Linked DNA regions of Xenopus tropicalis. The protein of the gene in region 2 interacts with the protein of the main gene of each other region in a pairwise test. Links are inferred from orthologs where the notes say so. Each region holds a gene or a part of one and is shown on either strand. Other genes may lie near its edges.

Region 1 (3,832 bases), on a different chromosome or scaffold from region 2:
GCTGTTCTAAAGCCTGCAGGGCAAGCTCTTACACATCAGCTAAAGTATTAAATATAGCTACTTTCAAATAACATCTTTACAAATGTACATTTGCACATTTTGCTTAGTGAAATGTCACCTGTCTACCATAAAAATCTATTTATTTGGGTTTAAACATACAGATACAGTTAAACATACATATAGTTCTTGCTAGTTCTTTTATCTGATTACTTAAATAAACTTTAATCCCTAGCAACCAGTGGAAGTCTTGTACAAAACAAAGAAAAATGGCTCTCTTGGAAAAAAAGAGTTTCCCCATAAGCCAATTGTGAATTCTTCTGAAGCACCCAACTAATAACTATGCTTCAGATACAACAGATCAAGCAAAACCTAATGATTCCTTACTTTTGGATAGTCCAATTCAAAGAATGTCTCCAAATTATTGATAAGGTTGGGGTCGACTCCTTTCAGTGGTTTAAGAAGTGAAACACCAGGTAGTTTGCTGTATGGCTGCTTGTCAGATACCTTCTTGTTCAGGTGTAGCCTTCTGTAATAAGAAAAGAGAATAAAAACTTTTTAAAAATGTGGTACCTTAAAGATTGAAAGATATGTATAATAATTAATAGATCAGAATCAGACACCAAAGGTGTTATGTAATACAAGCACAAGTTTGCCAAAACGTTAACCCATAGCAAACAATCAGCAAGTAGCATTTACTTGTCACCTGTTTAAAAGGTGGTTGCTATGGGTTACTGCTCCTGGGCAAACTTAGTGCCTTTAATCACATATGGGGTTGGCATATTGAATTTAAAAAAAACACAAATAAGGCAAAAACCAACCTTTTTTCTTAAAGGACATGTAAACCTCACACGCAAAAATGTAATCAGTGAACAGCCTATTTGAAATCTTTCAATACCTGCCACCCTGGTTGTCCAGAGGTTAATAGTAAGGCCCTTAATCACTTAGATTTCCTTCTCCTCCTGTAACCCACTCGGCCCCCTCCCTCGGGAATTTGCTTTGACTGTTGGCTTGTGGGCATGCTCAGTTGTTCTAAACTCAGATTACTAAACACGCCCCCCAGTCTAGCAGCCAGTGAAGAGATGGCATTGCTGGTTCCCATAGAAACTCAGCTCTAGCTGTCTGCTCAGCTCAAACAGCAGACCTTTTATCAAAGACAGTTCTGCCTGTGTGAGCCTGCATTCTTGATGAAATGTATGCTGAATAAGGGTCTGTGTGTGTGTACGCTGTTTGCAGATTTAAATGTAACGGATTATGTATCAGAGGGAAAATGGCCACCGGGTGAAAGCTGCTATTTGCTTTAGGAAAATGTGATGGTGCTGGCAAACGGAGGGGATCTATGCAGTACAAATGATGCCATTTGGGTGGGGGAGACCTGCCCAACTGATATACATTGTAGGCAAATGTAGGCTTTACATGTCCTTTAAGTTTGTCAACCAGTGTTTATACTATTTTACCCCTACAAAGTTTTCCTTTGTATTCCCTATACCTTATTAGTTTTTTCTTTTGTGGTCTTCCATCTCACTGCAACCCCTGAGATTGGGTCAATCAAGGTTAAAAAATAAATTTTACAATATGCTAACTTTCCATTACTTGACTGCATATTAAAATATTAAAAGACTACTGTGCCATTTCAAACCAGACATCATTTAAGAGTCTTTGTGCATTGTGAAAAGGAACTTTGATGCAATTCTGTCTGCCTCATCATTTAATCCTAATAAGGTAAAGGCATAATACCGGGGCAATTACATGGCTCTGATGACAGGTCCAAAACACACTTTATTAGCCGCCACAATTCCTGCTATGTCAAATGCCTGGAAAGATTCATACACCTGGCAGAACTAGTTTCACAACAAAAATCTCCAAAAATCACTTTAAGAGGTTTCAGGGGAATGCCATAGCAGGATACTACTATCACTTTTTGTGCAAAATGTTACTAATCCAACTTTCTTAAATTAACCAATATTAGCTTCAGAGATGTCCGAAACAAAATTTTATACAAAATTCCTCTCCCTGAATAGCATAATACATAACTATGTAGGTTCCACTACCACATCCACTGCTTAGGATTCAGAAACTAGCATGGTGTTGATTGGTCAGTGTGCAAATGAAATAAGAAAAATGTGCAGCTGTTAAGTGGGGTGGGAAAGTACTGATCTCTCTTTCCCAGAACTGTGTGCATAGATAGCAATCTGATTCACTGGGGAAAGGTACTTACTTGCTGTTGCATATCACATCAGTTCTTTATATTTAATGGCAACAAAGCTATCAGCCTGAGGGGAAGATGTACAATTAAAAGTTGTTAATGGGAAAAATATTTGCAATGCGAAAATTCATTGCTTTGAGCAAAGAATTCTGCTTTTGCGTGAATTAAATATAGCTTCTGCAAACCCAGAAACTGTTTGGCGACCACATCTGCAGGTGGAAGTATGATTGCTAATTTTATAGTTTGCATCAGTGCACAGTGTATGTAATAAAAATAAGACCAGCTCCAAGGATGCTTAAAAGTGCAGTATGCGCTATTAAAATAAGCCCACAAATGCTGAAAAGTACCAGTAATAGTGCATTCATGATGCTCATTAAACTGGTAGTTGCTAAGTCCTGTGTGCCATAGCCCTTATAACAAACATTATATACTACATTTAAAGCTACTCTTTAAAGTAAAATCACCTTGTTATAAAATATGGAAAGACCTTGTTTGAACACAAATGTAAGAAAAAAAAAAACTACTACTTCAGTGCAAATCTATCCTCTGATTTCTATGAAATATGTTTTAAAAAAATCTACTCATTTCAGCCATATTAAGCAGATGAAAAAAATTCAATAAATAAACCCTGGCACAGAAGAAAGTCAGTTAAGGAAACGCACAATGCCAGTGGATGTTGGTCCCTTGACAGCAAGTCTGTAATTGCTTTGAGTGTTTTGTTAACGTCAGCAAAGTAGGATAATTAAACAAATGTTAGCGAAGAAGCAAATGCCTTTAGCTACTTAAGGAAAGAGAAACTGTGTAGCAACAATATATAGCATGAATACATGTGTGAATATATATCTATATATATCTATATCTATATATATCTATATAGCTATATCTATATATCTATCTATACATACATACATACATACATACATACACACAATACTACTGGGCATAATGTTAAAATATAAAAAAAAAAACAAAAAAAAACTAGAAGTATCAAATGAATGAGCATCTCATTTGTCCAGTTCCAAACAATTTGAAAAACATTCACATTCCTTCATTCCTATTTGGAGGCCACTATCACCCCCCCCCCCCAAGCACCAAGATAACTGCAGAATGCAACACTTCCAAGAAATAAAGCTCATCAAGCAAGCTCACAGGAATTTTTCAGCCTGCATTCCATAGTGGAAAGTCAGCTAACCACACAAACACTGGGAAATAGATCTACATCCTTAAAAAAAATCCTTGGTTGCCATTTGTGCCAACTCATTATGCTTGAAAAAATTAAAACCTCACTTTCCTGCAGGCAGCAGACTTTTAAGGTACACTTTTTCTCTGTGTAGTGCTAATAAAGATTATAATAAAATTTAACACAAGCTGGATAAAAGATTTTAACATATTTGCGGTTTCTTACAGAAAAACATTTTCACCTTGTAATCACTTTTTTGTTCAGGTGATTTTGCGATTCCTTCTGAAAAAAATATTTTAGAAATAAAATTTTAAATTCAGTACCAAAAGCATTATGGGTGGGGTGGTGGTTCAGTAGTAAGAACTGCTGTCATGCAGGGCAAGGATCCGGTTTATAACTGTGTGCCTTTCTCCAGGTTTTCCACACTACAGCATACAATAAAATGAACC
Region 2 (3,832 bases):
GGATAATGGGTTTCCAGATAACGGGTCCTATACCTGTACAGCGCACACAGACACAAGAGAGCCCTGAGATTAACAGATTAATCACAACTGCTAGAAATTTATAATTTCTAAATCCATAACTGAGATACTCCCCTGGCAACATTTCAACACCAGCCTTATTATTGGCTCATGCTGAACATGGGTCTATAGTTTAACTTTAAAGAGTGTACTGCTGATATTACACCAGTAAGATTTTAGGGAGAACCAGGCACCATAACACAGACAGTTGGCAAATTGTGGCAGTTCATCCTATTGGTAGGTCACATGTGGTCATTATTTTTTACGATCTGCTTTAGACCAAACATTTTGTTCAAAAACTTGTTACCTGCATCTGTGGATGGGGGTGTAATAGATTCTGGACTGTTGTCTTCTGGCTCTGAAACAGTAACAGTTGGTACCATATCAGGACTTAGCTTTAAGCCTTTATCTGATTTGCCTTGCTGATTTTCTGGGTACTCTGTTTGTAATGTAGTTTCCATCCCAGTAAAGCTAATTGTCACAGGTGCTGATTTGGGTTCTTTGGATGTTGGTGAATTATATAAGCCAAAGTCTTTTCTTGGTTCTTCCATATATGGTACATAGGGCAAATATTCAGATATGTTCCCATTGTAATGGTCTTTTTGCCAAGACATTGTTACACTGTCATAAGCTTGTTGTTCAGTAGGAGCAGCCTGGCCTATGGTGCTTGCTTTATTTTCTCCAAAATCCTTGTCCAGAACCTGTTGTGGTTTCATGTCTGGTGACCTGCTAATATCTATATATTTGTAAGCTTCTTGTTTTTCCTCCTCTGTGGGGTCAGCCAAGCTTTTATTCACTTCACTGCATTCTGCAGGTGTCATTTCTATTCCTGAATCCGAACTAAGTAACCCACGAGAATCAAATGTTGGTATCTCCTTGGGTGATCGAGGCCCAACACCGCTGAATTCCTTTATGTCTGGGGACTCAGTTCCTTTCTTGGAGATACCAGTAAAGTAGGTGGAATCTGTATGAGAGTGCTTATCAGAAGACAGATATGTGTAAGACAAGCCATTTTCATCTCCTGGTAGTTCCTTGGATTCAGCATCATGTAAATGAAGAGTACTGGTGAAATCTAAAATTACAAAGAAAAACAAAGAAAAACTTATATGACTATAATAGCACTATTAACACTGTTGTATGGTTTTTTAACATGCAGTGGGAGTGCTTGTCTTTGGGTGTATTCTGCAAGTGGTGGGGCTTGCACTTTTAGGTGATTCTCATAGGGATAAACAAAAGTTAATTTTAGATGTTTTGAAAAAACACTTGAACTCGTGCACCTTTTCTTGACCCTACCACATTAGAACTATTGGGGTCTCATGAGCAAAGAGGCAGCAAAAAAAGTGAGTCAATGGGTAGTTACCAAATTGTTTGAAACAGGTTTTCTATATGCACTCTCAGGAAAGAATGAAACGTAGGCAGCTCCAAATAGCAGTTGTTTATAGCCCTGTGTGACATAAGCCACAGGAAAACATTTACCATTCACTACTGGTAAGTTGCAGGCTCACTCACTTGCTGAGTAGGTTTAGTAAGGTTATTGTTCTGGAAGGCTGGAAAATCTTTTTTGGCAAGAATTGGTGGGATCGACATTGGACTGTAGATGCAGTTCTGTATACATGGGCCCTGACATTTTAAGTACACAGCTCTAACATTACATCTGTTAGATCAGTGCTGTTTAATATCCATGGTAACTGAGGGCCATAATTTTTCTGACCTACATGGTTGAGGGCCAATAATGGAAGCCAGTTTTGACCACTTTCTTTTTTAAACCATACCTACTTTAAACCACACCCATGTTATCAAAGACCTTTTAAGACCATATCCACATTAATGGTGGTAGCACACCAAAAATCCAAATGGTTGGTGTTCACTGCAGGGATATCACTCATATGTAAATAAAAAAAGTTTATAAAGTCATATTAATAGGGCAGGCAGAGTATGGCACATACAGGCAGCATTGGGCATGCAGAATATGGCGCACACAGGCAGCATAGGGCAGGCAGAGTATGACACACACAGGCAGCATAGGGCAGGCAGAGTGAGGCACACACAGGGAGGGCAGAGCAGGCACAGACAAAGAAAGGCATGAAACAAGGAAACCTATCAGGGTCTCACAAGTGTGAGCAATGAAGAGTGGTACAGATGTAAACAATGCAGTAGCTTACAGGTGTGAACAATGCAAGGGCTTACATGTGTGAATAGTACAGGGGCTTACAGCCTGAATCTGAGGTGTGAACAACGCAGTGGCCAGTTAATCTCAGTACTGATCCCATTTAAATCTTACACAAAGGTAAGCAAACACAGCAGCCAGACTTTAGTGGGGGCCAAACAAAGAGGGGGGCATGGGCCACCAGTTGCACAGCACTGTGCTAGATCATTAGCTAAGACATCTACAAATCCAGAAGACCTTGGCATTCCAGGCTTCCAATATCAAACCACTAGCTGCTTCATACATATGTGTATGATACGGATGGTTTCCCAAGCCTTTAGCACAAGAAAGGCAGAATGTTCTATGAGAATTAATTGCTGTTCAGATAAATCTCAATGTTTCTCCCAGTTACTGCAAGTTACTATATACAAATATCTAGCAACACCAATGGTATCACATGGTCTACTCCTTTTATCATTTATTAAGATAAATTGTTCTCTGGTCAAATTTGTTAGTGATTGTGTACATTATATATGTTATATAACTGTAATACAGCATTGGAAATACATCTCCTTCACAGTGGGGACTCTATAAGAGCTAAAGAGCAGAAAGCAAAGGGCACTATTTAAAAGAATATAAGGAGGGGTTAGACTGAAGAAAAAAATAATTATTTTTACTTTTAAAACATAAAGGCGTCTATCCATGTCAGGGTTGATTAACTGGAGGCCAGAAGTGACTTTCTGTGTATAATCTATCTATCTATCTATCTATCTCACATATTTTTTATATATCATGTACTATAATACTTCAAATGTATTACAATAATGATTATCCAGGACAGTCATAAGAAAGACATTTTGGGGTCAGAAGTGCTGCGTGAGGTTCTTCCCCTGGGTTCTTGGAAGAATATTCCTAGGTATGACTTTCATACTCAATCATTATCTCACTGTTGACCTTGAATCAACATATATCACTAACAATACAAGTGATAAAGGTTCAAATTGCAGAAAAGTAAGGGGTTCAGCTTGATCAAAATGTGTGGTGCACAAGCCCTTGTATATATGGCATCCAGTTCTGCCATGCAGGGTCAGGAACCATGCCAGGACTGGATATCAGGGCTAGGTGTTACTGGAGCAACTAGCAAGTGCCCCCTTGGGAAAGAGACTTGCAACGTTCCCTGACAAGTGTTTTTGGCTGATATTCTCCCATGTGATTAAAGCACAAATGCCGCCATAGAGCAACAGAACAAGACACATAAGGAGAATTCTGTCCATTGAGGATTCATTGTTCATTGTAAATATTTCTCTACAGACGTACATATACAAAGTAAGATTTATTTTCTGTTATATAATTTGACTATCCATGTAATCTGTTACTATATACATTTTAAACATGTTTTGGAGCCAACAGGTCTTGACTGGGTTTGAAAATAGGCCCTCAAGGAGAACTAACCCCTTAAAATAAATATGGATAAAAATGCCATATTTTATGTTACATAGTTACATAGGGTTGAAAAAAGACCAGTGTCCATCAAGTTCAACCCATCCAAGTAAACCCAGCACACTTAACCCACACCTACCAATCTATACACTCACATACATACACTATATATACACAACCACTAGTACT

What was found.
Region 1: the proteins of rtn1 (region 2) and ugcg interact in a two-hybrid assay, tested with the Homo sapiens proteins (2 studies listed by BioGRID and IntAct). The link is inferred for Xenopus tropicalis from reciprocal best matches to the Homo sapiens genes RTN1 and UGCG.

Annotation. Positions count from the first base shown.
Region 1 is NC_030677.2:108,022,134-108,025,965, reverse strand, and holds part of ugcg (ceramide glucosyltransferase), read right to left. Parts: intron 527-3,832; coding exon 385-526; intron 1-384. UniProt on the Homo sapiens protein: Participates in the initial step of the glucosylceramide-based glycosphingolipid/GSL synthetic pathway at the cytosolic surface of the Golgi.
Region 2 is NC_030684.2:102,880,799-102,884,630, reverse strand, and holds part of rtn1 (reticulon-1), read right to left. Parts: intron 1,130-3,832; coding exon 365-1,129; intron 1-364. UniProt on the Homo sapiens protein: Inhibits amyloid precursor protein processing, probably by blocking BACE1 activity.